Oryctolagus cuniculus: one gene and its partners. The protein of the gene in region 3 purifies or fractionates together with the protein of the main gene of each other region. This does not show direct contact. Links are inferred from orthologs where the notes say so. Each region holds a gene or a part of one and is shown on either strand. Other genes may lie near its edges.

Region 1 (8,346 bases), on a different chromosome or scaffold from region 3:
AAATGATTGTTCTGGCCATTACAGACATTTGGGGAGTGAACCAGCAGACAGAAGATCTCTCTCTCTCTCCCTTTCTGTCTGACTTTTTCAAATAAACATTAAAAAAATATATTCAACAATATTTTTTAAGATTTCTTTATTTATCTGATAAAGCTACAGAGAAGCAGAGGCAGAGAGAAAGGTCTTCCATCTGCTGATTCACTTCCCAAATGGCAACAATGGCCAGAGCTGCAACGATCCAAAGCCAGGAGTCAGGAGCTTCCTCCATATCCCCTATGCGGGTACAGAGGCCCAAGGACTCGGGCCATCTTCCAGTGCTTTCCCAGGCCACAGTAGAGAGCTGGATTGGAAGTGGAAAAGCCGGGACTTGAACTGGCACCTACACAGGATGCCGGCACTGCAAGCAGCAGGCTCTACCCACTATACCACAGCACTAGCCCCTCAACATCATTATACTTGATCTTACCCAAAAGGCTGAGAAGCGATCAACATCAGTAGTTATTAGGGAAATGCAAATCAAAATCACAAAAAGAAACCACTTCATACCTACTAGAATGGAATAACAAAACAAAAAACAGGGACTCAAGCCGATACATACTTACAGCCAATATTCAAGTGTGGTAACAACCCAACATCCATCAACAGATGAACAGATAAATGAAATGTAGTATATCCATTTCATGGAGTATTAGACAGAAGAATGAAGGTCTGACATACACAGATGAACTCTGAAGACAGTATACCAAATACAATAAGCAAGACATAAAGCGGGGGAGGGCGGTGCTGTGGTATAGCAGATAAAGCCACCGCCTGCAGTACCATCATCCCATACGGGCGCTGGTTTGAGTCCTGGCTGCTCTTCTTCTGATCCCTCTCTCTGCTATGGCCTGGGAAAGCAGTGGAAGATGGCCCAAGTCCTTGGGCCCCTGCGCCTGCGTGGGAGACCTAGAAGAAGCTCCTGGCTTCAGTTTGGCCCAGCTCCAGCCGTGGTGGCCATTTAGCGAATGAACTGAACCAGCATATGGAAAGACTTACTCTCTGCCTCTGTGTAACTCTGCCTTTCAAATAAATAAATAAATAAATAAGCAAACTTATCTTTAAAAAAAGACATAAAAGGACAAATTATAGAACTTCATATAATAAAGCACTCAGAAGAGTCAAACTCATTTAAAAACAGAAATTAAAATTTGAGATTACTTGGCACTAGAAAGAAGAGAAATGGGCATTACCACTTAATGGTACAGAATTTATACGGTTTGATAAAGTTTGAAAATAACTAGTGGGAATGGCCACATAGCACTTGTAAATTTTACAAATATTCCTGTATCATACATGTACATTTAAAAATGGCTGAGGGGTGGTCACTGTGGTATGGGAGATTAAGCCACTGCTTGGGACACCCACAGTCCATACTGGAGTGCTAGTTTTAATTCCAGCTGCCTCTTCTGCACTTCTGATTCAGCTTCATGCTAATGTATCCTAAGAGGCAATAGATGATGGCTCAAATGCTTTGGTCTCTGCCACTCACATGGAAGAGCCAGATGTAGTTCTGAGTTCCTAGCCCAGTCCCAGCTGTTGTAGCCATTTAGGGAATGAACCATTGGGTAGAAGATACTTCTCTCTCTCTACCTCTCAAGTAGATGAAAATAAACATTTTTAAAAATGGTTGAAGTAGTCAATTTCACTACAACAAAAAAAATTTTTTTTGACAGGCAGAGTGGACAGTAAGGGACAGAGAAAGGTCTTCCTTTTCCATTGGTTCACCCCACAATGGCTGCTGCGGCTGGTGCGCTGCAGCTGGTGCACCGTGCTGATCCGAAGCCAGGAGCCAGGTGCTTCTCCTGGTCTCCCATGCGGGTGCAGGGCCCAAGGACCTGGGCCATCCTCCACTGCACTCCCGGGCCACAGCAGAGAGCTGGCCTGGAAGAGGAGTAACCAGGACAGAATCCGGTGCCCCAACCGGGACTAGAACCCGGTGTGCTGGCACCGCAGGTGGAGGATTAGCCTATTGAGCCGTGGCACTGGCCAAAAAAATTTTTTTAAAGATTTATTTATTTATTTGAAAGTCAGAATTACAAAGAGAGAGGAGAAGCAGAGAGAGAAGTCTTCTATCCAATGGTTCACTTCTATCCAATGGTTGGCTGCAACGGCTGGAGCTGTGCCGATCCAAAGCCAGAAGCCAGGAACTTCTTTCGGGTCTCCCATGCAGGTGCATGGGCCCAACGACTTGGGCCATCTTCCACTGCTTTCCCAGGCCACAGCAGAGAGCTGGATTGGAAGTGGAGCAGCCGGGTCTCAAACTGGCGCCATATGGGATGCCGGCACTTTAGGCCAGGGTGTTAACCTGCTGTGCCACAGCGCCGGCCCTTAAAAAAAATTTTAACTGCAGTGCACCTCTTTCAATTAAATCTGATTCAGAGTGGGCCTTTGTCACTTGTGAAGATGCCAGATGGGATGCCTAGGTTCAAATCCAGGTACTACCTCTGATCCATCTTTCCTTAATAATGTGCACCCTGGGAAGCAGTAGGCAATGGTCAAGTATTTGGGTCCCTGCCATTCACATGTGACACTAACAGTGAATTCCCAGCCGTGGCCTTGCCCAGCCCTGGTTGTTGTGGTTATTTGGGGTGTGAACCAGCAGACTGGAGATTTGTCTCTCTGCCTTTCAGATAAATAAAAATATATTTTTTAAATTAAAAAAAATTTGTCATAGAATCCCAATGTGGGGGTGGGCACTATGATGCAGTGGTTTAAGCCACTACTTTGGGACACTCTCACCCCATATCAGAGGGCATGGGATCAGTACTACCTCTGCTTCTGATCCAGCTTCCTGCTCATGTGCATAATGGGAGGCAGGAGCAGATGATGGCTCAAGTTGTTGGGTCCCTGCCACCCATGAAGGAGACCAGATGCGACACCTGGCTTCTGGATTTAGCCTGGCCCAGCCCTGGCTATTGTGCGAATTTGGGGAGTGAACCACTAGATGGAAGATCTCTGTCTCCACTGTCTTTCAAATAAATAAAAACAGAGACATTTACAAATTATAAAACGAAAGAATCTCAATGTGTAAAACCAGATAAAAGTGATGCTGACAGTGTTGAAGCATGGGGAGAAGGGCCTGAAGCCTCACCAACTTGGTTCTCCCTTGATCAGTATTTCCAGTCCTCTCAACCTGTAATCTGAAACAGTGAATAAAAGTATTGCAAAACGGATGAAAAGTAAGTTTTTTAGATACACTGAAAGGGAAAACTAATACTGCCTTTTTCTGGAGGTGTAAGGGTGACTGTGACAACAGAGTTTGAAAAGTAATCTCTGGCTGGTGCCACGGCTCACTAGGCTAATCCTCCACCTTGCGGCGCCGGCACACCAGGTTCTAGTCTCAGTTGGGGCGCCGGATTCTGTCCCGGTTGCCCCTCTTCCAGGCCAGCTCTCTGCTGTGGCCAGGGAGTGCAATGGAGGATGGCCCAAGTGCTTGGGCCCTGCACCCCATGGGAGACCAGGAGAAGCACCTGGCTCCTGGCTCCTGCCATCGGATCAGCGCGGTGCGCCGGCCACAGCGCGCCGGCCGCGGCGGCCATTGGAGGGTGAACCAACGGCAAAGGAAGACCTTTCTCTCTGTCTTTCTCTGTCACTGTCCACTCTGTCAAAAAAAAAAAAAAAAAAAAAAAAAGTAATCTCTGAAAGATAACATTTGGCCTGGTTCTTCAAGCAGGCGTTGACTTTGGGAATGGAAATGGATCAAGAAAGCACATAGTGAAGGAGTGAAGGAGGAAAAGTAGTCTACAAGGGCATCAGGTTGAAAGAAAAGTAAAACTTGAAGTTAAAGAGAACAGGCTGAATCCATCTCTGAGGAAATCAAGAGGATTTGTTGTTTAAATAGGGGGGGGGGGATAAGTGGATTAAGCTCCTGTTTGGAATGCCCACATTCCAAATCAGAGTGCCAGTTTATGTCCTAGGTACTCTGTTTCTGATTCAGCTTCCTGCTAATGTATTCTGGGAAGCAACAGACAATGGCTTATGTGCTTGGTTCCCTGTTATCTATGTGGGAGACCCATATGGACCTTCAGTCCAGCCCAGCTCTGGCTGTTGTGGGCATTTGGGGAGTGAACCAGCAGATGGAACTTCTCTCTCTGCATTTCAAAAAAGAGGCCCAGCTTAAGGAAGAAATAAATAAATGCCAAGGGATTCAAGTGACCATCCTTTAGGTCCTGATTATCCTTGTGCCTGGAGACTAACAGGCGGAGCACAGATTCCTGAACATAACATTGTGAACGCCTCTACCCTGTTACCTGACGCATGATTTTTCATGAATAACATTGTGAACGCCTCTACCCTGGTACCTGACACGTGGTTTTTCATGAGTCTGAACCTGGAGTCTCCCAGAGGCTTTCCCAACCTTCGAGCAGAGTTGACAGCAAAGTTGGAATGAAAACCAGGCTGTGATTTAGTCACCATGGTGACAAGAAACTATCACAAATACTTGCTTATGACCTCACTGGAAAAGCAGGCAAGGGAGGGAGTGTGAAAGGAACATCTGCAGAAAAGCACATGTGGAATCGACCAAAAGAAGACTGGGTTATCTTTCATGGATCCAGCAGTACAGGGACTTTTTCCATGGTACAATCCCTTACTTGCTGGGGTTGGATCTAGAAAATCCACATCAAAAATCTTTTCTGTCTTAGATAGCTTTGGGTTTTCTTAGTCAAGGAACTCAATCAAAGGTCACTGAAGTTATACCTCTTATTTCTAGGGAATATATGGAATACATATCTAATGCTGCCAAGCATTTTCTAAGCTTTTAGAACCATGGGAGTAGCAACAAGAAGACAAAATAGGTATGGACCCTGAAATGGCTGAGCTACTGTAGTCTTGCTAAATTCATACGATGAAGCCCTAACCCCCAGTACCTCAGAAGGTAATTATTCTTTTCATTAAAGCCCTTAAAGAGGCAAATAAGGTTACAGAGGTCATTGCTAATCCAGTACCTACTATCTTTATGAAGGAAAACACCAAGTAAATATGCAGACAGCTACCCAGAGGCTAAGGAGAGAGGTCTTAGAAGAAACCAACCCTGCTGACACCTTAACCTTAGACTTCCAGCCCCAGAACTGTGAGAAAATAAAGCACCCAGTCTGTGGTGTTTTGTTATGGTAGCCCTAGCAAACTAAACAAAACAAAACAAAACAGAGAACAGGTAACACATGAGTCCCAAATTGCTATAGTGCTCCATTTAATTACCGGTATGTCTTAAAAATGTGAAATTCTTAAGATTTTTTTTTTTTTTTTTTTTGACAGGCAGAGTGGACAGTGAGAGAGAGAGACAGAGAGAAAGGTCTTCCTTTGCCGTTGGTTCACCCTCCAATGGCTGCCGCGGCCAGCACGCTGCGGCCGGCGCACCGCGCTGATCCGATGGCAGGAGCCAGGAGCCAGGAGCCAGGTGCTTTTCCTGGTCTTCCATGGGGTGCAGGGCCCAAGGACTTGGGCCATCCTCCACTGCACTCCCTGGCCACAGCAGAGAGCTGGCCTGGAAGAGGGGCAACCGGGACAGAATCCGGCGCCCTGACCGGGACTAGAACCCGGTGTGCCGGCGCTGCTAGGCGGAGGATTAGCCTAGTGAGCCGCGGCGCCGGCCAATTCTTAAGATTTTTAACATGCATTTTCTCAGAAAAACATTTCACAAATAACCCAGCTACTGTGAGTATCGGTTAAGAATGATGTCATTACACCTTCAAGCTCACAAATATGAGTATACTTCCAAAAACTAATGAGAAAATGGAGGGCTGGTGTTGTGGTACAGCAGGTTAATCTGCTGTCTGCAATGCTGGCATCCCATATGGGTTCTTACTGCCCCACTTTCAATCCAGCTTCCTGTTAATGTACCTGAGAAAGCAAAAGAGGATGGCCCAAGTACTTACGCTCCTGCCTCCCTTGAGACATAGATAAGTTCCTGGCTCCAGCCTGGCCCAGTCCTAGCTGTTGCAGCCATTTAGGGAATGAACCAACGGATGGAAGATCTATCCCATCTCTCCCGCTCTCTCTGTAACCTTGTTTTTCAAATAAATAAATAAATCTTAAAAAAAGAAAATGTTTATTTTGATACAGCTTTCTTATAATAATGAATTTTTTCATGAATTTTTTGAAGAGTCCTTGTATGTATAGATTGAAATAACACACTCTGTGTTTTTAAGGTGTTCTTTACAGCTACTGACTCTAGCACTTTTCTAACTGAAGACTTACTTTCATGGTCTATACTTTGAGTCTGGTGCTTTAGACCGCTCGACCATCCCGACACACCATGGTCTATACTTTGAAAAGTATACCAAAATTACCAATCACTTAAAGGAGTCTACCTAGAAGAGCCCCAAAGAGCTCTATGTAAGACACTGGGGAACCTGCCTATACTTTCTTCATGAAGTCATCACTCTTTTCTAATTATGATCCAATCCATGTCTTGGTGAATGAGTACTCCTACTTAAAAAGAAAGGCTTTCTAATGAAATGTTATCATAGCTACCCTGGCACAAGGCTGAACTAAGACTTTAAATCAGGCAGACCAACTGTTGGATGCTATAGTTAGTAAACTTTACAACTCATCCCAATACATTAAAGATTACTCAGTGGCACCAGAAGGAGAGATAATGGAGATAAAAATAACCTGTTATGGGAGCCTGCATTGTAGCCTAATGGGCTAAGTTGCCGTGGGCAACGCCAGCATCCCATATGGGCACTGGTTCAAGTCCTGGATGTTCCATTTCTGATCCAGTTTCCCAGTAATGCTCCTGGGAAAGCAATGGAAGATTGCCCAAGTGTTTGGGCCTCTCCTCCCATGTGGGAGACCCAGAAGAAGCTCCTGGCTCCTGGCTTCTGCCTGGCTATTGTGGCCATTCGGGGAGTGAACCAGCAGATGCAAAATCTCTTTCTCTGACTCTTCCTTTCTCTGTGTAACTCTCTCAAATAAATAATCTTTTTTTTTTTAAAGGGACATAAAATGCACCCCCTCACACACTATATCTGATCTATAAACCATACATCTCCATTCATCTTAATTTTATTCTTTATTTTATTTGGGGCTGGCTCATGTCCCAGCTGTTCCACTTTATTTTTTTATTTTATTTATTTATTTATTTATTTTGACAGGCAGAGTGGAAAGAGAGAGAGAGAGAGAGACAGAGCGACAGGTCTTCCTTTGCCGCTGGTTCACCCTCCAATGGCCGCTGCAGCCAGTGCGCTGCGGCCGGCGCACCGCGCTGATCCGATGGCAGGAGCCAGGTACTTGTCATGCTCTCCCATGGGGTGCAGGGCCCAAGGACTTGGGCCATCCTCCACTGCACTCCCTGGCCACAGCAGAGAGCTGGCCTGGAAGAGGGGCAACCGGGACAGAATCCGGCGCCCTGACTGGGACTAGAACCCAGTGTGCCGGCGCTGCAAGGTGGAGGATTAGCCTAGTGAGCCACGGCGCCGGCCTCCACTTTCAATCCAGCTCCCTGCTAATGGGAAAAGCAGCAGAAGATCATCCCACTACCCACATGGGAGACCTAGACGAAGCTCCTGGCTTTGGCATGGCCCAGCCCCAGATGTTGTGGCCATCTGGGAAGTGCATCAGCAGATGGAAGATCTCTCTCTCTCCCTCCCTCTGGAACTCTGACTTTCAAATACATAAAACAAATCAAAAAATTTTATTTTATTTATTTGAAAGGCAGGGTGATAGAAAGCAAGACACAGACAGTAAGAAATCTTTCTCCCACATGGCTGCAACACCTGGGACAGCTCCAGCCCAAAGCCAGGAACTCCTCAGGGTCTTCCAGATGAGTGGCAGGGGTCCAAGTACTCTGAGCCATCTTCTACTGCTTTCCCAGGTGCACCAGCAAGGAGCTGGATCAGCAGCTGGGTAGCCAAGATTTTATCTAGCACTCTGATATGGGATGCTGGAGTCGCAAGCTGCAGTTTAACCTGCTGTGCCACAACACAGGGCTCTTCATCTTTTTTTTGGTGATGTATTTCCTGAATACTACCTATCTTATGGGGAGAATATAAAGCACAACAAAATGACCAACTTTAAAAAACAGAAATTACCAATACTGTCAAATCCCTACACTGAATCTCTGTGACGCTCATTCTCCTAGCCAAACCTGATTTCCATTCTTTTCATTCCAATGAAAATTCCTTTTAGCAACACCACCAAAAATATCCATATTGTCAACTCTAACAAATAAAAATGTCTGTCATATTCTTAACTCTTAAAAAAGTTGCTAATCCTGGCCGGCATTGCAGCTCACTTGGCTAATCCTCCACCAGCGGTGCCGGCACACCGGGTTCTAGTCCCGGTTGGGGTGCCGGATTCTGTCCC
Region 2 (7,744 bases), on a different chromosome or scaffold from region 3:
GAATCCTAAGGTATACAGCTTGTTGCTATATCTTCAGTGCTCTCACTGAAGTTAATGTGTATGTGTTAATGTACTACTCACAATGAGATTCACTAGGGCAGGTGGTTAGCATAGCAGTTTAGAGTCCACTTGGGACACCTGCATCCAATGTTGGGATGTTTGGGTTTGAGTCTCAGCTCCACTCCCAATTCCAGCTTTCTGCTAATGAACACTTTGGAAGGCAGCTGATGATGGCTCGAGTGGTTTTGGCCCTGTCACCCATGTGGGAGACCTGAATTGAGTTTTGGCTGCTGGCTGTGGCTTGGTTCTACCCTGGCTGTTGTGGGCATTTGTGGAGTGAACTAGTGGATGAGAGATCTCTGCCTGCCTGAATCTCTGTATCTCCTTGCCTTTCAATAAGTAAATTAAAAAAAAATTGCCAATTTTTTTGGTGTGTTTCATCTACTTCACAGATGGAAGCTGGATGCCAGCCTCTTCATTTCCTGTGTTTACTTAATAAGCTGATTAATCACAGTGTTCTATCTGGTTGGACATGAGTATATCCTCTGAATTTTTCAGAATAACATATTAACTAGTCACTAATGATCTCTCACGTTAATCTTAAGTAGACTGATTATTTTCTTTGTGTGTAAATGTAGCATAGGTTATAATATGAGCATTTTGATATTCATATCTTATGTCTAAATATAAGGTAATTCTGTTAGATTATATGGAAGTTTATAATTCATTCTTTAGAAGTAAAACTAGTACATGTTTCAGATGTAAAATTTTATATTATAATATGTATAATAAAATATTTGTATTAATGTTCATATTTTAAGATATGTTGAAATAAAACTAAAAATGAAATGCATAAATATTTCAGTATTTCAAAAGAGCTAATTATACTAAAGTACTAAAAAACTGGTATTGCAGTCATAACACAAGTCATGGCCCTTGTGGCTTTAGTTCTTAAGGCCGTGTTTTAGTGAAAGAAACCAGGCTCCAATAAATGGTTGAGATGTGCTTACTCAATCCTAATACTTTTAATTGAAAAGAAGACACTTCAGTGCTGGCTGGTTTTCGATTTTTGCCAGAAGCTATAATTTAGAAGGTTTTTTTGTTTTGTTTTGTTTTAAGCACTATTAGTTGATGATTATATCCTGACTCACAGTGAATGTACAATGCAACCTACTTAAGAAAGGTTAAAATTGGGGGGAGGGGGAGAGATGAAGGATGTTGCATCTTACAATCAGTGAAATAAGGGGACTTTGTGTTTAGACCAGAATCTCTTATTTGTTTAATATTGCTATGATATGGCCGGTGCCACGGCTCACTAGGCTAATCCTCTACCTTGTGGTGCCGGCACACCGGGTTCTAGTCCCGGTCGGGGTGCCAGATTCTGTCCCAGTTGCCCCTCTTCCAGGCCAGCTCTCTGCTGTGGCCCGGGAAGGCAGTGGAGGATGGCCCAAGTCCTTGGGCCCTGCACCCCATGGGAGACCAGGAGAAGCACCTGGCTCCTGCCATCGGATCAGCGTGGTGCGCTGGCCGCAGCGCGCCGGCTGCGGCGGCCATTGGAGGGTAAACCAACGGCAAGGGAAGACCTTTCTCTCTGTCTCTCTCTCTCACTGTCCACTCTGCCTGTCAAAAATAAAAATAAAAATAAATTGCTGTGATATGCATATAATTTGTCCCCACCAAAACCAATATTGAAATTTAGTTGCCAATGGAGGGGCTTTGGGAGTTAGGGCCTTTAAGAGGAAGTAATGTGTTTTGCAGGAATGGATTGATTCTCAAGAGTGGGTTATTATAAAATGGGTCAACTCCTTTGTCTTCTCTTCATTGCACATACCTACATGCCCTTCTGCTTTTCATCACACATGGAGAAGCATGAATCTCTCCTGAAAGCTAAGGAGATATTGGTGTCTTCTTAAGTCCTAGAACTGTGAATTAAATAAACCTCACTTTTCTTTATAAATCACCCAGTCTTGGATGTTCTGCTAAAGCAACAGATATGCACTGAGAAAATTAGCACTAGGAAATGGAGCTTTTGCTAAGACTAAATACTCGAAAGTGTGAAAGTGGCTTGGGAACTGAGTAATGGGCAGAGGTTGAAAGAGTTTAGAGGAACAAGATGATTATGGGTGATTCTGATGAGAGCTCAGAACACAAAAAGACTAGAGAGATTCTGGAACCTTTTATAGACTGCTTAAATGGTAGTGACCAGAATGTTGCTAGAAATGTGGACATTAAAGGCCATGCTATTGAGATCTCAGATGGAAATTAGGAGTATCATATTGGAAATGGAACTGCAGGCTATCATTTTTAGAAAGACATTGATGGCATTTTGTCCATGCTCTTGGCTTTATGGAAGGGCAAATTTAAGAGTTCAGAAGATCTAGTGGGGGAATTTTCTAGGCAAAATATAGAGGGGGCACGTGGTTACTTTTAACTTCCCATGCTGAGATTCAGAAACAAAGGAGTGGTTTAAAGACAGAGTTTGGAATTAAAAGAGAAGCAGAGTGGAAAGATTTGGAACATACACAGCCACCTGATGTGAAGGAAAAAACTTGTTTGGGAGAATAAAGCAAGGATATTTGTTCAGATTGAAGGGAGTTGCACACTGTATTCATCAGGATAAAGGGAAAGAAGACGTGAAGGAATTTCAGAGATCTTCCAAGTTTTCCCACCTACATCATAGGCTCAGACTATTCAGTGCTGCCCAGAGGTACACTAAACAGTGCCATGTTTTGAACTGCCTCTCAGAAGGCACAACCAGTAAGCCTTGGTAGCATTCATATGCAGGTGGTGCTACTTCTGCAGGTACAAGTATTCAAGAGCTGTGGAGGTATAATAGCCTTCCCCTAGATTTCAAAGGATGTATTAAATTGCCTGGGAGTCCAGGCACAAACCCACTGCTGAGCTGAAGTCACCACAGAACATCTGTACTAGGGCATTGCCCAGTGGAGCCAGGGAATTGGGATCACTCTGTGAACTATAGACTATTGAGCCCACAGTGGTGTACAGCACCTACCTAGAAAAGATACAGTCAACTGACTCCAGCTCTAGACATCAGCCACATGAGCCAAGACCAGAAAAGCTGAGTGTGTGCTCAAGGTTTTCTAAGGTATTGGGTGTCTCCACCCAAGTTGTCCAGGAGGTAACAGATGGTATGAAAATGTATTTGCAGTTTTGAGGTTTAATGTCTACTCTCCTAGTAATATACTTGCTTTAGGCCAGTTACTGCTTTTTTGGCCAGTGTTTCCATTTTGGAATGGTAACGTCTATCTTATCCCTATTCCACTGTTGTACATCAGCAGTAGGTAACTTGTTTTGATCTTATATGCTCATAGCTGGAAGGAGTTTGCCTTAAATCTCAGAAGAGACCTTGAACTTTGGACATCTACATTGTTGCCAGGATGAATTAACATGTTTGAGATTTTGGGAATGGAATTGTATTTTGTATGTGTGAAGGATATCAATTTTCATGGGCCAGGCCCAGGTTCTATGGTTTGAGTGTAGTTTGTCCCCAGTGAAACTGAGATTTGTTTGTCAGTATATTGGTATTGGGAGGTGAGTCTTTTTTATTTTTTCAACTTTTATTTAATAAATATAAATTTCATAAGTACAACTTTTGGATTATAGAGGTTCTTGCCCCATACCCACCCTCCCTCCCCCAAACCATCCCACTTCCTACTCCCTCTCCCATCCCATTCTTCATTAAGATTCACTGTTAATTATCTTTATATACAGAAGATCAACTATATACTAAGTAAAGATTTCAATAGTTTGCACCCACACAGACACACAAAGTATAAAGCACCATTTGAAGACTAGTTGTACTGTTAATTCTCATAGTACAACACCTTAAGAACAGAGATCCTACATAGGGAGCAAGTGCACAGTGACTCCTATTCTGGATTTAACAATTGACACTCTTCTTTATGATGTCAGTGATCACCCAAGGCTCTTGTCATGAGCTGTCAAGGCTATGGAAGGAAGCCTTTTGAGTCCACAAACTGACATTATTTAGACAAGGCCATAATCAAAGTGGAGATTCTCTCATCCCTTCAGAGGAAGGTACCTCCTTCTTTGATGGCCCCTTCTTTCCACCAGGATGCCACTCACAGAGATCTTTCGTGTAGGTCATTTTTTGCCACAGTGTCTTAGCTTTCCATGCCTGAAATGCTCTCATGGGCCTTTTAGCCTGATCCAAATGCCTTAAGGGCTGATTCTGAGGCCAGAGTGCTGTTTAGGGCATTTGTCATTCTGTGAGTCTGCCAAATTTACATTTCCTTTTCTCTTATTCCCACTTTTATTTTTAACAGGGATCAATTTTCAATTGTATTTCAACACCTAAGAATAATTCTGTGTTAAGCGTTCAACCAATGGTATTAAGTAGAAAAAGAAAATACTAAAAAGAATAAAATAGTAAGCTGTTGGGTGGTGAGTCTTTTAAAAGGGATTATTATCTTTCTGATAAGACTGGATTAGTTCTCAGGGAAAGAGGATTGTCATAAAGCAGGCCAACACCCTTGTCATCGTCTGTCTTCTACACTTGCCCACTTTCCTGTCTCCTTTTCTGTTATGTGTGCAGTAGCTAGTGGCCCTCCCTGAAAGCCTTCCAGCCTTTATGATTGTGATTGAAAATAAACTTCTTTCCTTTATAAATGCCCAGTCTTAACTGTCTGATATAACAGCAGAAAATAGATAAAGATAAATATGTTACTTCTAAAATATTTTATGACAATCTTGTGGGACTGTGAGAGTGTGTTCATCGTTTATGTTTTCAGGATGGGTTTTGTTGGTGTATTCAATCAGTAGGCTTGAATTTAATTCCCCTGGAGTAAGCATCTGTGTTATTTAGAGAATTATCAGTATCTGTTTTCTTCTCTCCACTTAAGATGCCATGGCTAGTCCAGGGAAAGATAACTATAGAATGAAAAGTTACAAGAATAAAGCGCTAAATCCTCAAGAGATGAGGAGAAGAAGAGAAGAAGAAGGAATACAGCTTCGAAAACAAAAGAGGGAAGAACAGGTAGGTGTATTTAAATATTTAATTGTGGGGGCTGGCATTGTGGCTTAGCTGGTTAAGCCACAGTGTGTGATGCTGGTATCTCATGTTGGTGCCTGTTCAAGTCTTGGCTGCCCCACTTCCAATCCAGCTCCCTGCTAATATGCCTAGGAAAGCACCAGAAGATGACCCAAGTCGTTGGGCCCCTGCACCCATGTGGGAGACCCAGATAGAGCTACTGACTTGAGGCTTTGGCCTGGCCCAGACCTGGATGTTGTGGCCATTTGGAGAGTAAATGAGCAGGTGGAAGATCTCTCTTTGTCTCTGTAATTCTACCTTTCAAATAAAATAAATTAACTCTTAAAAAATAATTAGTTGTATTTAGCAATACAGTTTTTCAGAGGTTTTAAAAGTTTAATTAGTATTGCTGAATGTTAGACAATTTTAAATTAAAAAGTATCTTAGGAAATTGAATGTAGCCAATGTATTTTTAGTTTTTTAGACTCCAGGAATAATACATTCAAATTCCTCTACTATGGGGGCTGATGTTGTAGCTTACTAGGCTAAGCCTCCGCCTTGGTGCCAGCATCCCACATGGGCACCAGTTTGTGTCTTGGCTGCTCCTCTTCTAATCCAACTGTCTGCTATGGCCTGGGAAAACAGTGGAAGATTGCCCAAGTCCTTGGGCCCCTGTACCCAGGTGAGAGACCCTTCTGGCTCCTGGCTTTGGATGAACACAGCTCCGGCCGTTGCTGCCATTTGGGGAGTGAAACAGTGATGGAAGACCTTTCTCTCTGTGTCTCTCCCTCTCTCTGTCTGTAAATCTACCTCTCAAATTAATAAATAAATTCTTTTAAAAAAATCTTTTATTGCTTTTAGTCACTGAGAGGAATGACTTTTCTCTGTTATTGATAAACCTTTATGTGATCACTGGTAAGAAATTTTTACTTTTGAGTCTATTTAGTCATTTCTGTTTATCATAAAATTTGTTCCCCAAAATATGTTAATTATATTTATTTGCTGTTTTGTGTTTTTCATAGCTCTTGCCCTGAAGTCACTTATAGTCATTTTTTTAAAAAAATATTTATTTATTTATTTATTTGAACCTCAGAGTTACACAGAGAGGGACAGATGGGGAGAAAGATAGAGATATCTTCCATCAGAGAGAGTTCTTCCATCTGCTGGTTTACTCCCCAGATGGCAGCAAGGGCCAGGGCAGGGCCAGGCTGAACCCAGGAGCCAGGGGCTTCTTCCAGTCTCCCACATAGGCGGTAGGGGCCCAAACACTTGGGCCATCTTTTGTGGCTTTTCCCAGGCCATTAGCAGGGAGCTGGATTGCAAGTGGAGCGGCCAGGACTCAAATTGGCACCCTTATGGGATAAAGACAATTACAAGCAGTGGGCCAACCTGCTATACCATGATGCTGGCTCCCTAGTCATTTTTGTTTACTACCCATACTATTCCTCTTGTAGTCTCCTCAGCCATATGTCTTAATTTCTCTGTTTATTCTTTGTATATGAGACCAGAAAATCATTTGAGAGAGTGTATCTCATGATACACTTAAATTGATAAATATTTATAAGTGAGAGGATATGCTCCACATGTACATGAATTAAAACTGATGAAGGAAGCAGAAAAATACATGTTTTAGAACTATGGTTACTGGCCGGCGCCGCAGCTCAGTAGGCTAATCCTCCGCCTAGTGGCGCCGGCACACTGGGTTCTAGTCCCGGTCGGGGTGCCGGATTCTGTCCCAGTTGCCCCTCTTCCAGGCCAGCTCTCTGCTGCGGCCAGGGAAGGCAGTGGAGGATGGCCCAAGTGCTTGGGCCCTTCACCCCATGGGAGACCAGGAGAAGTACCTGGCTCCTGCCATCAGATCAGCGCGGTGTGCCAGCCGCAGCGCGCCGGCTGCGGCGACTATTGGAGGGTGAACCAACGGCAAAGGAAGACCTTTCTCTCTGTCTCGCTCTCTCACTGTCCACTCTGCCTGTAAAAAAAAAAAAAAAAAAAAAAAAAAAGAACTATGGTTACCTCTCCCTATCTGTAGGACGTAGCACAGCCCTTAGTATATTATAGTCAGGACTCAAAACAGTGTGGTTAAATGATTGATTTGTTGGAGATCTATGTACAGATTGAAGAGCACTACTTGTTTAGCTACTAAAAAATACATAACCAGAGTTTTTTTCTTGAGTTTTGAGTTAAGAAATGTACTTACAAATCTTCCTTAGTGATACTACTATGTCACTTTACTCCCTACCCGCCTCACACACACACATTTTTTTTTCATTTTTATCCATTGAATTAATAAAATTTTTTCCTGAGAATTGTTTTCTATTCCTTGTTAATCAGATATACTAAGTCTATTAATATATCATGTTATTCTCCAACAGGTTTGCTTTTTTTTTGCTTTTTTTTTTTTAATTTAATTTTTTTTTGACAGGCAGAGTGGATAGTGAGAGAGAGAGACAGAGAGAAAGGTCTTCCTTTTGCCGTTGGTTCACCCTCCAATGGCCGCCATGGCTGGAGCGCTGTGGCCGGCGTACCGCGCTGATCTGAAGGCAGGAGCCAGGTACTTCTCCTGGTCTCCCATGGGGTGTAGTGCCCAAGCACTTGGGCCATCCTCCACTGCCTTCCCGGGCCACAGCAGAGAGCTGGCCTGGAAGAGGGGCAACTGGGACAGAATCCAGCGCCGCGACCGGGACTAGAACGCGGTGTGCCGGCGCCACTAGGTGGAGGATTAGCCTATTGAGC
Region 3 (7,744 bases):
GCCCTACTGGTTCCCACCAATCATCAGCTTTCCATCTCTCAGGGAAGGAGGAACTGGGCTCTAGTGCAGGGTTGTACAGGCTATACATTGCACACATTCATAATCATCAATTTTTTTTTAAAGATTTATTTACTTATTTGAAATGCAGAGTTACAGAGAGGCAGAGGCAGAGAGAGAGAAAGGTCTTCCATCCATTGGTTCACTTCCCAGATGGCTTCAAATGCCAGAGCTGCGCTGATCCGAAGCCAGGAGCTTCCTCCTGGTCTCCCATGCGGGTTCAAGGGCCCAAGGACTTGGGCCATTTTCTGCTGCTTTCCCAGCAGAGAGCTGGATCAGAAGTGGAGCAGCAGGGACTCAAACCAGCACCCACATGGGATGCCAGCAATGCAAGCAGTGGTTTTACCTGCTATGCCACCGTGCCGGCCCCCATAATCTTCAATTTTTGTATATTAAGTGTTACCATTTTCCAGCAGATGGCAAACAAGCATTTGAATAACAGGCAACCTTTTAATAATTTGTACAAAGACTGTTTGGGTCTTCAGAGGATATAAACAAGAAACTCAAATCTTTCTAGTAAAATTCTGAATTTGAAAAATGCTTTAAATAAGCTGTAAACACTGGTGTGGGTACTTAAAGGAGTTAGAGGGACCATATCTTCACTAATTGCTCACTTGTTAAAGAGGCAGAGGTTCAGGGTCCACTTTATTGAGTAGAAAACCTTTGAGGGTGGGTAGTATGTCATTTGGGAGAGATGTTTGGGATAGAATGGAGTGAAGAGAGAGGGGGTATTCCAGGCAGAAGCTACAGCATAATAGGTAAAACTAAGGAAATAGTAATCACATTAAGGGAACTATATAGTCTGGTTGCCATAGTTGGCCTGGAATGCAGGATATAATATAGGAAATGGTAAGGAAAAAGTTGAGAATATAAATTGGAAACAAAATGATTAATCTCTTGCAAAGAAAGTTTTTTTTAACAGTATTTTTTAGAGATTTATTTTATTTATTTGAAAGAGTTATAGAAAGAGCTAGAGCCAGAGAGAGAAAAGTCCTCCATCCACTGGTTCACTCCCCAAATGACCACAATGGCCAGAGCTGAGCTTATACGAAGCCAGGAGCCAGGAGCTTCCTCCAGGCCCCCACACTGGTGCAGGGGCCCAAGAACTCAAGCCATCTTCTACTCTTTCCCTAGGCCATAGCAGAGAGCTATATCATAAGTGGAGTAGCTGGGACTTGAACTAGCGCCCATATGGGATGCTGGTGCTGCAGGCTGGGGCTTCAACTCGTTGTGCCCCACGTTGGGCTGGCCCTGCAAAGGAAGTTTTTAATCTTAAATATGAGAAAGGTGACTTTAGAACATGATTTTTTTTTTAAGATTTATTTATTTATTTGAAATTCAGAGTTACACAGAGAGAGAAGAGAGGCAGAGAGAGAGAAAGAGGTCTTTAATCTGCTGGTTCACTCCTCAATTGGCCATAATGGCCAGAGCTGCGCCTATCCAAAGCCAGGAGCTTCTTTTGGGTCTCCCACATGGCGGGTGTAGGGGCCCAAGGACTTGGGCCATCTTCTGCAGTTTTCCAGGCCATAGCAGAGAGCTGGATTGGAAGTGGAGCAACCTGGTGTCAAACCTAGAACATGATAATATATATAGTTTAATTGATTTGTTAATTGCCAATTAGAATAAAGTTTGCAAAACTTGCTGAGTAAAATTGTACTATGATCTTGGTGATTTTGTACTGTGAGCTCTGTTAAAAGTGGTCACTTTTGACAGTATTCAGTAAAAATATCTAAAATATAAGGAAAATTTATAAGCCAGAACACTTAGCATGGGCATCAAATTTTTGCCCCAAAGTAGACATTTTCTATAAACTTTTTTTTTTTTTTTTTTTTTTTTGACAGGCAGAGTGGACAGTGAGAGAGAGAGACAGAGAGAAAGGTCTTCCTTTGCCATTGGTTCACCCTCCAATGGCCGCCGCTGATCCGAAGCCAGGAGCCAGGTACTTCTCCTGGTCTCCCATGGGGTGCAGGGCCCAAGCACTTGGGCCATCCTCCACTGCACTCCCGGGCCACAGCAGAGAGCTGACCTGGAAGAGGGGCAATTGGGACAGAATGCGGCGCCCCGACCGGGACTAGAACCCAGTGTGCCAGCGCCGCAAGGCAGAGGATTAGCCTAGTGACCCACGGCGCCGGCTTCTATAAACTTTTTGAAGTTCCCTCATCTATCCAGAAACTTTTATCTATATTCACTGAAGTGCTGATGGTATATTTTTAAGTTCTGCCAGTCTAAGAACTGAAAATAGAAGGTGAATTAATTTTAAATTTCCTAATCTCCACGTAAGAATGAAAATTGTGAAAAGGAATGGACAGATACAGCTGAATGCTCTTGACAGAAAGAAGCTTCAGACTGTGTTGGTGTAAGAACTCCAAAAGGGGGTAGTTTGTTTCTTTTAGTTTTGAAGCAGAAATGTGGGTGTTCTTTCTGTTATCTGCCTTTCCATAGATTTCCTTCTTTTATTATTTCAATGTATTAAATCAAGAGAAATTTTCTCCGAGGTCGCCAACTGCTTATTTTTCATTTGTGTTTGTATTCCTGCAACAGGACTTCCACCATCTTCCTCTGAAGACCTAGCCATCTTGTTCCATGAAGGTCAGGACAATCTGACATGCACATGTTACTTGCCTCTTTACTTGAAGATTAATCCTTTTTCCATTGTGTACATTTTTCTCTTGATAGGGGAGGGGAGGGGAGAACCAATACCCCCCCTCCCCTTCCCTTCCCCAGAACTTGGAGAAACAGCATCCATTACTTTCCCAAGATGGCAGACCCCATCATGGACCTGTTTGATGACCCAAATTTATTTGGCCTGGACTCTCTGACTGATGACAGCTTTAACCAGGTCACCCAAGACCCCATTGAGGAAGCACTTGGACTGCCAAGCTCTCTGGACTCCTTGGACCAGATGAACCAGGATGGTGGAAGTGGTGATGTGGGGAATCCATCAGCAAGTGACCTGGTCCCCCCACCAGAGGAAACAACCCCCACAGACCTTCCCAAAGAATCCGCAGCTCCAGCTCCTGAATCTTTAACCTTGCATGATTATACCACTCAGCCCGCCAGCCAGGAGCAGCCAGCCCAACCTGTCTTACAGACATCGACGCCAACGTCGGGACTTTTGCAGGTCTCCAAGAGCCAGGAGATCCTGAGCCAGGGGAATCCTTTCATGGGTGTCTCTGCTACAGCTGTTCCCTCTAGTACCACTGGAGGACAGCCACCTCAGTCAGCCCCTAAGATTGTTATTCTTAAGGCCCCACCAAGCTCCTCAGTCACTGGTGCCCATGTGGCACAAATTCAGGCCCAAGGTATCACCAGCACAACTCAGCCCTTGGTGGCTGGCACAGCCAATGGTGGAAAAGTCACTTTTACCAAAGTGCTAACTGGCACACCCCTTCGACAAGGTGTCTCCATTGTCTCTGGTAATACAGTGTTGGCCGCCAAGGTCCCTGGGAACCAGGCTGCTGTTCAGCGCATTGTCCAGCCCAGCCGACCAGTAAAGCAGCTGGTCCTCCAGCCAGTGAAGGGTTCAGCTCCTGCTGGAAACCCTGGGGCCACAGGGCCCCCTCTGAAGCCTGCAGTTACACTGACCTCTACACCTACCCAGGTGACTTGATTGAAAGGGGGAGGTGAATTTTGGATTTGTAGTGGGCCTAGCAGTTTTGTGAGAGTGAGTGTGCATGAAAGCTCTCTCTGGGAAACCTTGTCTGTGCATTTTATCAGTTGGTGTTGACAGTGACGTGCTTATTTCTTGCCAGATGAAAGCAGTTAATGTTAACATATTTTCTGCACTTACACTGCATGTTTCTACTGTGTCTACCTGGTGCTGAATCAGACAGACACAATCCCTGTGCTTAGAGAGCTTAGTCTGTCAGGAACCATAGACATTAAGCAAAAATTTACAACAATGTATGATAGAAAGTTTCATGAAATATAGGATCCTATGCCAACAAAGAAACATCTTTGGCAAATTATTTATTTATATTTGCAAGACTTGTAAAAGCATTATTTGTTTTCCTATGTATTTTACTAAGATCATCCCCTCTAACTTTGCTCAGTAAAAAGGCTAGTTCCGTCCTCTGAATAAAGGGCCAGAAGAGTTGAGATAGGCAGACAATACTAAAATAAATAGAACCAGTGGGAAGAAGCCACAAGGAGGCAGACTTCAATATAAGGTCTTTTGTTCTAAAAGATTTCCATTAATGTGAGATGACTGTCTTAGAAGGTAGTGAGCCTCCCATCCATTAGGAGTTTTTAAAAAATAGCCTGGATATTTGCTGGGCAGAGATGTTGTGGATAAGTAGATGAACACAATGTTACTATGTCTTCTGACCCTTAATTTTTGTGACTCTAGGATGAAGAAAACTGGTATAAATATTTCAGGGTATACCATTCTTTAATATTGTAACTCTCTTGCAATTTCCTTTTTTCACTTTAGGGTGAATCGAAACGCATCACCCTGGTCCTCCAGCAGCCACAGTCTGGAGGTCCCCAAGGACATCGGCATGTTGTGCTAGGGAGCCTACCAGGCAAGATAGTATTACAGGGCAACCAGTTGGCAGCCCTAACTCAAGCCAAGAATGCCCAGGGGCAGCCAGCCAAAGTAGTAACTATCCAGCTGCAGGTGCAACAGCCACAGCAAAAAATCCAGATTGTACCACAACCTCCATCTTCGCAACCACAGCCCCAACAGCCACCTGCAACCCAGCCACTGACTCTGTCCTCTGTGCAGCAGGCTCAGATCATGGGACCAGGACAAAGTCCAGGACAAAGACTTTCAGTGCCACTCAAGATGGTGCTGCAGCCACAGGTGAGAGAATTACATAGTAAGGGAAAAAAGCAAACTTCTTAGACCCTTGCTGTTGCTTTCAATAGCCACTTACTGTTGCTTGTGGCATTATTCTAGATTTATACTTCTGAACTGAGATGGAGACTTTTATTTCTTTCACCCATGGAAATCTTATTTTAATTATATCATGGAAAGATCAGAGACTCACTGAGTTTAGGATGAGATATGATTTTCGTATTTGAATGTTTCACATACAGTCTTTCCTGGTATCATTTTGAAGTGAAAACAATTAGAAATTACCCTTCTGTGAAGGTGAAATAAATAATCCCTCTGCCCTCCAGGAAATAGAACTTGTATTTTTTTTTCTTTTTTGCCAGAGGCCAATAATGGCTATATTAATTACAATTTTTCTAAGATAATTGAAGTAGGTATTGCTAGGAGAGCTTGACAAAGGGATATTGAAATTTGATTTGACAGAATTTTTGTCTTTTCTCACCTCTTTCCTGCCAAAAAAACACATTTTAAAAAATATGTCTAGATTCAGAGCCTGGTTCTTGAGAAACTAGAGAACTGGTTTTAGCCTGTTTCAGAACTTGTTTTATTGAGGCCATTTAACTAGACACATTGAAATTTTAGCATCTTTATTTCTATAGGCTGGCTCTTCCCAAGGGGCCTCTTCTGGGCTCTCTGTAGTTAAAGTTCTAAGTGCCAGTGAAGTGGCAGCTCTGTCATCACCAGCAAACTCTGCTCCTCACACGGGAAAGACAGGAATGGAGGAAAACCGAAGGTTGGAGCACCAGAAGAAGCAAGAGAAAGCAAATCGGATTGTAGCAGAGGCCATCGCTAGGGCTCGTGCCCGGGGTGAGCAGAACATACCTCGTGTCCTGAATGAGGACGAGTTGCCCAGTGTTCGACCTGAGGAGGAAGGTGAGAAGAAACGTAGGAAGAAGAGCACTGGGGAGAGGCTGAAGGAAGAAAAGCCAAAGAAAAGCAAAACATCTGGAGCCTCCAAAACAAAGGGCAAGAGTAAACTCAAGTGAGTAGCCTTGCTATTTGGCTGGGATATTTGTGGGTAATGCACTCATTTTTCAATAATGTGGAGAAGAACTTGTGTTGAGTCACTACACAGTTCAAGGTGTCCTATCATAGAAAATAAGGCCTTTATTTTCTCTGTCCCAGTGTTTATATGATTAAACAGAAATTTACAAGTTAGCATGTTTTAAAAGGAAAACACTGGGGGCCAGTGTTATGGTGTAGCGGGTAAAGCTGCCGCTTGTGACGCCGGCATCCCATATGGTCTCAAGTTTGTGTCCTGGCTGCTCTACTTCCAATCCAGCTTCCTGCTAATGGTCTTAGAAAAGCAGCAGAGGATGGCCAAAGTGTTTGGGCCCCTACCACTTATGTGGGAGACCTGGAAGAAGCTCCTGGCTTTGGCCTGGCCCAGACTGGATCATTGTGGCCCTCTGGGGAGTGAACCATTGAATGGAAGATCTCTCTCCCTCTCTCTAATTCTGACTTTCAAATAAATAAATCTTTAATATAAATAAATAAATAAGTGGAAACCACTAAGGCACAGGAAAGATAGCCAATCATTGTGTTGGGGGTTACCTTTAAAAGCTATGACTCTGTATTTATATATTCTCAATTTTGTATCACTGAAGTCTGAAAGTGATTTCTTATGACCCCTTTTACACCCACTCTAGTGAAAAAGAAAAAGAACTGCTAGAGATATAGCCACCCTGTTTTTGTGACTTGGAGAAGATTTCAGTAATCAGTGTCTGTCTCAGGCAGTGTTAATGAAACTGGCTGCCATGTTAGTGTCTTTCTGTCTGTCTGTCTGTCTCTCTCTCTCTTTAAGATTTATTTATTTATTTGAAAGGCAGAGCCAGAGAGAGAGAGAGAGATCTTCCATATGCTGGTTCACTCCGCAAATGGTTGCAATGGCTGGAGCCGTTCCCATTCAAAGCTGAGAACCAAGAGCTTCTTCCGGATCTCCCACTCGGGTGCAGGGGCCAAGCACTTGGGCCATCTTCCACTGCTTTCCCAGGCCATAGCAGAGAGCTTGATCAGAAGTGGAGCGGCCGGGTCTCAAATTGGTGCCCTATGGGATGCTGGCACTGCAGGCAGCAGCCCCTCTCTTCTGTCTTAAATTTGAGAGTTGGAGAGATCCCATCTACTGGTTCACTCCCCAGATACCTGTAACAGCTGAGGCTGACCTGTGCTAGAGCTAGAAACAGAATTCTGTTCTCCCACGTGGATGGCAAGGATCAATCACTTGAGCTATCACTGCCTCCCAGGGTATGCATTGATGAGAAGTAGAGCCAAGATGCAAAATCATATGCTAGATCTCCCACATGGGTGACAGGGCCCAAATAGTTGGGCTACTTTCACTGCTTTTCCAGTTGCACCCCAGGGAGCTGGATCAGAAGCAGAGCAGCCAAGATTCAAATCCACGCTTATATGAGACACCAGCATTGCAGGCAGTGGCCTAACCTGCCTGTGCCGTGATGTTGGACCACAACCTTCTAGTCTTAAACCAGCATTCTTTCTATTTTATGCTACCTTTCTTCAGGATTTGTGAACATACTGGTGGCAGTGATTTGTCAGATCTAGTATAAAGATCATTCAGTGGTTTACAATACACATATTTTCTTTTTTCGAACACCATATTTAATATCTGAATGTATCATGGACTAAATATCCAAATGCTTCTGTCTGGAAACTTGGTATATGATAGTTCAGATTAACTATATTTTTTGTTGTTTTTTCTTTATTTTCACTTTATTTGAAAGGCAGAAAGACTGGAATACAGAGAAAAAAGAGAGGTCTTCCATCCAGTGGTTGACTCCCCAAATGCCCACAAAGCCAGGGCTAGCCAGGCCAAAGTCAGGAGGCAGGAACTCA
Region 4 (7,744 bases), on a different chromosome or scaffold from region 3:
ACTGTTTGGTCATAAATATCAAGACTCATTAAAAAAATCCATGATTTGGCAGGCGCCGTGGCTCACTAGGCTAATCCTCCGCCTTGCGGCGCTGGCACACCGGGTTCTAGTCCTAGTCGGGGTGCCGGATTCTGTCCTGGTTGCCCCTCTTCCAGGTCAGCTCTCTGCTGTGGCCAGGGAGTGCAGTGGAGGATGGCCCAAGTGCTTGGGCCCTGCACCCCATGGGAGACCAGGAGAAGTACCTGGCTCCTGCCATCAGATCAGCGCGGTGCGCCGGCCGCGGCAGCCATTGGAGGGTGAACCAACGGCAAAGGAAGACCTTTCTCTCTGTCTCTTTCTCTCACTGTCCACTCTGCCTGTCAAAAAATAAAAATAAATAAAAAAAAGAAAAGAAAAAAAAATCCATGATTTGACATACATAATTCTACCTCTAAGATATCTAACCAAAGGAAATTATAACAGACTGTTAAGTGAACACCAAGAGCCTTATATGACTATATACAATAAATGTACACATGAACATATAGTCAAAATATAAAAAGGAAATATAATAAATTTTTTATAATAAAAATACTACTTTTATATTCAGAGGTCCCTGATACCCACATGGGTGACCAGGACTGAGTTCTAGGATCTTGGCTTCAGCCTGGACTAGTCCTAGCTGTTGCAGACATTAGGGGAGTGAACCAGGAGATGGGAGATCTCTCTTTCTCAGCCTTTTCTCATTTAAAAAAAGGAAAAAAGCTAAAGCTGAAACCCAATTCACAATTCTCAATCCATCTATATGAGGATGATCACTGAAATTATAAATAATAAGGCCTATGAAGGAAGTGGAGAGATTGCCCCCTAGAAGATGCCCACAAACAAGAGGAAAGGAAAAGGAGTTTGCTGAGGAGAAATAGTCGGTGAGGCTGAAAAAAACAAAATAAATATCTCAGAAACCTAGAAGACAATTTAAAGATACCATAGGTGCATCTGAGACATTAGAAAGAAAAATGGCTACAATTATCACTGGAAGTGATCCTGTCTGACGGTAAAATTGAATGGACTTCAGAAAACAGGAGGGAACAATCTTCCTCACATAGGAAGACTTTTCATATACAAAAGGAGGAAGCTATCAGAAAAGATATTAAGATGATAGAGGGGCCAGCACCGCGGCGCAGTAGGTTAATCCTCCTCCCATGTCACCAGCATCCCGGTTCTAGTCCTGGCTGTTCCTTTTCAAATCCAGCTCTCTGCTGTGGCCTGAGAATACAGTAGAGGATGGCCCAAGAGCTTGGGCCCCTGCACTCACATGGGAGACTAGGAAGAAACACCTGGCTCCTGGCTTTGGATTGGGGCAGCTCCAACCTTTGCAGCCATTTGGGGAGTGAATCAGTGAAGGGAAGACCTTTCTCTTTGTCTCTCCCTCTCACTGTAACTCTACCTCTCAAATAAATGAAAAAACAAACAAACAAACAAAAAAAACCTTAACTCAGAAAAAAGATCTTTTCTAGAACTTTTGATGCTTACAAGAACCATTCCAAGAGTAGAGTGAGACAAATCTGCCTGACCCAAAGAAAAGTCATTATCATAGGGGGACTCAAAAGTGCTACAATAGGTCAAGAGATAGTGAAGGTTATAAGAGTACATGCCCAAGATAACATTTTAAACAAATATTGGCCTAATTAAATAGAATTAAATATTATAAAGAAATAACAGAGCTCAACATATTGTTTTGACAAAAAACAAACTGCCACTTATTCATACCTGTGTCTGAATATCATCTCCTGTGACAATGTTTCCCACAGCCCGCAAAGCAGGAGAAACCACTTTATAATCATTATGCCTGTAATCATAAAAAGAAACATTACAGCCAACAGTTCTAACCATGGTCTCTTTTCCTTAGGACCAAAATACAAAAGAAATAATGTGTGATAGGATTTAAGGGCAGAAAGGTACTATCAAGATGATGGAATTTATTTTTGGAGAAAAACTTGCAAATCTTTCCTAATAATCTTTCCCAGATCAAGTGGATTTCAAATTTACCCTCACTTTCTTTAACACAGGTCTCATGTCCTTATTACCTGGTTTTTTGTGATAATGGAGAGCAACAGTGATTATTCGCACAATTTTAAGTTATATAAATTGTCTAGTCTTCACAGACTAGACACTTAAACTACCTTGAAAAATCAAGGTAGAATTCATACTTCAATACTGAACTTTTTCTACTAAAGCTACTATGTCTTCACTGGTCAAAAAACCATCCATATGAAGCTTTTGTTATACATTTGAAGAAAGAAATTAAGTCCTAATGTCAAGCTAAATAATGCCCTTTAACTTTCCTTCAAGGTCCTATTTGCTCTCTCCTCTAACGAGATTGATTACCTTCTCAAAAGTGTAGCAGTTCCTTCTTACTTAATATCTGATAACTAAAAAATAAATGGTTTAAAGCATGTATGAACCTAATGACTAAAGAATACAATAACTTTCCAGATTTTAAATGCTATACTACTGAGTCCTGAACCATCATGTTGCTTCTAATCCACAACAGCACAATGTTACTAATCTGCACCCAGCCTATGGTCAACTATAAACCCAAAGTCTTGTATTTTGTGCATTAAATTTATGTAACCCAATCCACATGCCACATGTGAGACAATGTCCCCTGGCATCTGCTTTGCACTTCAATTAAATTTTATGCTCCTTATAATTGTAGATTTCCTTCATTAAATTATTTTATTTTTTCTTCTATTGGACTACCTGAAAATCTGAAACAGTCTCAAATCATTTACATTACTAGCAAATCTTCCATTACATCATCAAAGGCACCCCAAAGAGAATAAAATAAGATTAAATGTCTGACACTAATCTAAATGCTAAAGAAGACAGAATAGGAATGACAATTTTTAGTGGCAATATGCCTTTTGATACCGAGTGGTTGGTCTGAAGTTATCCAGTATGAGCTGAAACTATACAGATCAGTGTTCCAAATGTTTCCACTGAAGGACTGCTAGAGCAGAAACCTGAGAGATTCTTTAAAACCAAAATACCAAAACAATCTGATATGGACATAAACAAGTAACAAAAGAACACTAGCCTAAAAGCACTATTTATCAGTATAATATACAACTAATATTTAATTATTAGCAAATAGAAAACTAGTAGCATGGGAGAAGGGGCAAGCAGGCATTTTCTGAATGATATCTTACATCAGTAGCTCCACAAGTCTCCTACACACTCCTGCATCAATGACTGCTTGAATTTTATCATTGGGTCCATCTGATAGATATGAAAGGGCCCAGCAGGCATCAGCCAGTACATCAGTGTCACTGACAAACAGTAACCAGGAAAGCACATTCAGACAGGGGGAAACCTGTGAAAGGAAGATAGAATGATTATGAAATTTAACAGGATAAAAGACAAAGGAGATGAAACACTCCAGAAGGCAGTAAGTCATACACTAGGTGATTTACACTTCTGGAAATGGAGCAGCAAGTGACTAAGTGGCATTTCCATCCTTAGGAATGCTGCCAGTGGTTTGCAGCTTTTTTAAAGTTTTTAAGCTTTTTATTCAGTGGGAGAAATGCATAGGAGAGTGCAGGCCCCATCTAAGAGAGGGAAATTTGGATTCATACTATGTACCAGGAACCAGCCATGTGGAGGAGCATGCAGGCCAGGAAATGTAGAGCAGCCAGGGCCCACAATGGCAAAAAGTCCCCCCACCCCCTGAAAAAAAGGCTGGGCCCACCGTGTCCCAAGCCTTTAATCCACGTCCAAAGGCAAGTCTGATTGGCTGGTGGTCACACATGTGTGGCCAGGTAGGGGCATGAGGTCACACAGGGGCATGGTGAAGGCGTGGTCTTCCAGTTAACAAACCTGATCGATTTTATCCTATATACCTGCCTACATCATTACCCTCTCAGAAACTCCATTCTCTTAATCCTAAGGGATGTTGAAGGGCACAGAATCATATCTTCTATAGCTGCTTCTTGCTTATGAGGGGCGTAGTACAGGCCCAGCCTGTCCGGGTCTGGAAGTCTCCACCTTCTTATCTAACAAATTTTGCAGCTTATTATGATGAGGCAGTCAAAGCTCAAGAAAAGTAATTTCAGAAGCAAATTCTTACAATGAGGTTCTTCCTCAAAATGCACTATTTGTAAGCTGAAGAGGTAAAGGAACTAGGAAACTTGGTATTTTAGATACCAAGTTTGTTACAAAGAAAAAAATGCTAGGGGGTTTTAAGATGAATTCAGGGATTTTTAAAACAGAGAAAAAATAATTCCAAATAAAAACAAATAAATACAAAGAGTCCGCCTTTTCTAGAAACTGAAAAACCTTTTTATTATTTTAAATTTTACCAAAATAATCTTTCGATAAACATTAATACTGGATGAGGCTGGTGCTGTGGCGTAGTGGGTACAGCCACTGTCTGCAGTGCTAGCATCTCATATGGGCACCGGTTTAAGTCCTGGCTGCACTTTCGAACACTAATATTGGTTGCCATATTATTCAATTGCATTTTTTCTGCCTAATTTCCCACGCAAATCCTCACCTTTGCAAATTCTGGTGGTGGACTCTTCCCTCTACAGAGATTAGACAATGCCCATACTGCATTCCGGGTCATGGTCAGGCGGTTTTGCTTTGAAAATAACCTAAAAGCAAGATATATATATATATATGTAGATACAGATAGATATAGATATATATATATACATATATAATATATATGATACTAAATTATGTAATAGACATTAATTCTCTGATGGCATAAAATATAAACACTATTTAATGTTACTGATAAACAGATATCCTCAAATAGTTTTCCTGTGGAATAACTTATTTAATTATAATGTAACTAATTCAGAATTTTGGCACTGGAATAAAACAGGTGTTTGAACAAATGATCTGAACAAGTTAACGAGAAAACATCTGGAAAGAAAATTAACAGGAAGCCCAAAATGATTTCCAAAGAGATACTACTTTCTGAGGAATTCCATATCTTTATTTTTCAAAAGAAAGAAAAGCAAAAAGAAAGAACTTACTGCAAAAGAGGAGGAAGGATATTGCAGTCCAAGACATAATCCCTGCACATAGTACTATCTCCAGCAATGTTGCCTAGAGCCCAGACTGCCTGTGAAAGAATTATTAATTAAGGACAGTTACATAGTTTAATTCCTTCATAAGTCTTTCAAAAAATATTCCAGCATATCACAATAACATCTGTTAAAGTTATAGAGTCGTTAACCAACATTTTATACATGGATTATTAATATTCCCCAATTCATTCATCAAGGAACCAAATGAAACAGTTGTGGAACTGAGATAAGATGATCAATAATATTCTAAATTTCACAATAAACAGAGGGGTAAAGAACCATTTTTTACAATCTTCATCTTAGGGATGAATCCCCTTGCCTAAGCAGCCATTCCATATAACCCTCGACTGTTAGAAGTCAGAAATTCAAATGGCTTACTCAGCTCATTAAGCATGTAAACACGGAAGAGCAATCAAATCCAGATAACTTTATTAAACTTTTATGGGTAACAGATGTAATTATTTTTATCATAATGATGGTTCCATTTGTATTATCAAACTGTGCACTATAAATATATGCAATTCACTCTATGTCAAGGATACCTTAATAAAGCTGTAAAAAAAAATGCCCATTTAGCTGTAATTTATCCCCATTAACTTCATAAAGTTGGCAATAACCAGAAATAATTCACGTTTTCTATGACTTCCTGTACACAATGGCAAAAATCTTCCACTTCAATCAACACTAACACTAGAGATTCCTGCAAGAAAAAGTTCTATTAATAACTGCTTACGTGGTCTAAAAAAGCATTATCTATAGGATTAAGGAATTCAGGGATGGATTGGAAAAATGATTTTATATGCCTAGGAGAAACTGTGTGCAGAGTCACAAAGAAATTTTCTATTTTTGGTTAAGTTAGATTTCTAAAAAAGTCCCTGTGACTAACCAAGGATTTAATGTGGCCAAGTGGTGAAACCTGGGCCCTGAGTATGACTGAAGGGAAAATTTTTATTCTTTCATCTGCTTATCTTTGTTTCACTTCTTACCTGTTCCTGGACATCTTCAAACTCTGAGCTTAGCAACTCTATGAAGATAGGCACAGCTCCTGCCTGAATCACAATCCGGGTCTGAAGAGAATTTCCTGAAGCAATATTTGTCAGTACCCAAGCAGATTCAAACTATAAAGATAAAAATAATTTGTATTACCTTATTATAACTTAATGGCTTGATTACTTGAAATAAAAAAGCCTGCTATACACAGAACCTATCAGTTAAATTCTGTCTGAATTTTAAAAGAAGAATCCTCAGAAGAAATAGCTTCACCTAGAGAAATGATCAGGGTGGCTAGAATTTCAGATCAAGGTAGAGTTGACATGAGACCATAAAAAAAAGTAAGGGGGAGCCAGGGCTGTGGGTAAAGCCACCGCCTCAGTGCTGGCATCCCATATGGGCACCAGTTTGAGTCCCGGCCGCTCCACTGTTCCGATCCAGCTCTCTGCTATGGCCTGAGAAAGCAGTGGAAGATGGCCCAAGTGCTAGGGTCCCTGCACCTGTGTGGGAGACCCGGAAGAAGCTCCTGGCTTTGGATTGGCCCAGCTCCAACCATTGCAGCCAAAGGGGAGTGAACCAGCACATGGAAGCCCTTTCTCTCTCTCTCTGCCTCTGCTTCTCTGTAACTCTCTGCCTTTTAAATAAATAAATAAATCGTAAAAAAAAAAGGGGGGGGGGGAATGCTTCATATGCTGATACAGAATTATCTTCAAAGGTATAAATGGGGAGAAAAAAATCAAAACAGTGTATATCATCATACTGTAACATCTTACGGGTTAAGAAGAAGTCATGCATTAATTTATTGCATAGATTATGTAGGAGCCACAAGAAGCTGTAAGTACTTGATACCCACATGGTATGTGTGACAGAGGAGTAACGATGGGAAAAACAGTTTTCACTGAAAAGCCTCCTGTGACTTTTGGCCTTGCATTATGCATATTATCTAATAAAAAATAATTTCTAAAAGACAGGCAAAGTGAAATGGGGACAGAATATTAGTCTAAACCAGATAAAATAAAGTCACAGTGAAAGGGCAAAAGATATTTAAATGTTAGGTAGGTCAAAAAGAGTTAACAGGTATACAATTAAAAGAAAAGAGCATGAACACCTAAGAGTTTCCAGTAATTGTGAAGGCTATAAACCAAGCACAGAGGTTAAGACTTTTTGAGGCCGGCGCCACGGCTCACTAGGCTAATCCTCCGCCTTGCGGCGCCGGCACACCAGGTTCTAGTTCTGGTCGGGACGCCAGATTCTGTCCCGGTTGCCCCTCTTCCAGGTCAGCTCTCTGCTGTGGCCTGGGAGTGCAGTGGAGGATGGCCCAAATACTTGGGCCCTGCACCCCATGGGAGACCAGGATAAGTACCTGGCTCCTGCCTTCGGATCAGCGTGGTGCGCCGGCCGCGGCGGCCATTGGAGGGTGAACCAACAGCAAAGGAAGACCTTTCTCTCTGTCTCTCTCTCTGTCCACTCTGCCTGTCAAAAAAAAAAAAAAAAAAAAAAAAAAAGACTTTTTGAAAAGAACATTCTTAATAGGGAGATAAAAATGGGAGTAAATGAATAAAACTTAATATAGCATTACAGCACTAGTAAATACAAGATATAAAGAAAATTATGGGGACCAGCACTGTGGCAGAATAGGTTAATCCTCTGCCTGTGGCGTCAGCATCTGTATGGGC

What was found.
Region 1: the proteins of CHD8 (region 3) and KPNA6 purify together in Homo sapiens (affinity purification with mass spectrometry; 4 studies listed by BioGRID and IntAct, with this or other methods). This does not show direct contact. The link is inferred for Oryctolagus cuniculus from reciprocal best matches to the Homo sapiens genes CHD8 and KPNA6.
Region 2: the proteins of CHD8 (region 3) and KPNA5 purify together in Homo sapiens (affinity purification with mass spectrometry; 3 studies listed by BioGRID and IntAct, with this or other methods). This does not show direct contact. The link is inferred for Oryctolagus cuniculus from reciprocal best matches to the Homo sapiens genes CHD8 and KPNA5.
Region 4: the proteins of CHD8 (region 3) and KPNA1 purify together in Homo sapiens (affinity purification with mass spectrometry; 6 studies listed by BioGRID and IntAct, with this or other methods). This does not show direct contact. The link is inferred for Oryctolagus cuniculus from reciprocal best matches to the Homo sapiens genes CHD8 and KPNA1.

What each region holds. Positions count from the first base shown.
Region 1 is NC_091438.1:140,305,504-140,313,849, forward strand, and holds the start of KPNA6 (importin subunit alpha-7), read right to left. Parts: upstream 4,471-8,346; 5' UTR 4,456-4,470; coding exon 4,290-4,455; intron 1-4,289. UniProt on the Homo sapiens protein: Functions in nuclear protein import as an adapter protein for nuclear receptor KPNB1. Binds specifically and directly to substrates containing either a simple or bipartite NLS motif.
Region 2 is NC_091436.1:53,712,121-53,719,864, reverse strand, and holds part of KPNA5 (importin subunit alpha-6), read left to right. Parts: intron 1-4,883; coding exon 4,884-5,017; intron 5,018-7,744. UniProt on the Homo sapiens protein: Functions in nuclear protein import as an adapter protein for nuclear receptor KPNB1. Binds specifically and directly to substrates containing either a simple or bipartite NLS motif.
Region 3 is NC_091443.1:53,507,853-53,515,596, forward strand, and holds part of CHD8 (chromodomain-helicase-DNA-binding protein 8), read left to right. Parts: intron 1-1,903; exon of another isoform or gene 1,904-1,996; intron 1,997-2,598; coding exon 2,599-2,721; exon of another isoform or gene 2,722-2,768; coding exon 2,769-3,658; intron 3,659-4,489; coding exon 4,490-4,861; intron 4,862-5,493; coding exon 5,494-5,876; intron 5,877-7,744. UniProt on the Homo sapiens protein: ATP-dependent chromatin-remodeling factor, it slides nucleosomes along DNA; nucleosome sliding requires ATP. Acts as a transcription repressor by remodeling chromatin structure and recruiting histone H1 to target genes.
Region 4 is NC_091435.1:78,651,497-78,659,240, forward strand, and holds part of KPNA1 (importin subunit alpha-5), read right to left. Parts: intron 6,197-7,744; coding exon 6,065-6,196; intron 5,114-6,064; coding exon 5,025-5,113; intron 4,635-5,024; coding exon 4,535-4,634; intron 3,356-4,534; coding exon 3,192-3,355; intron 1,829-3,191; coding exon 1,750-1,828; intron 1-1,749. UniProt on the Homo sapiens protein: Functions in nuclear protein import as an adapter protein for nuclear receptor KPNB1. Binds specifically and directly to substrates containing either a simple or bipartite NLS motif.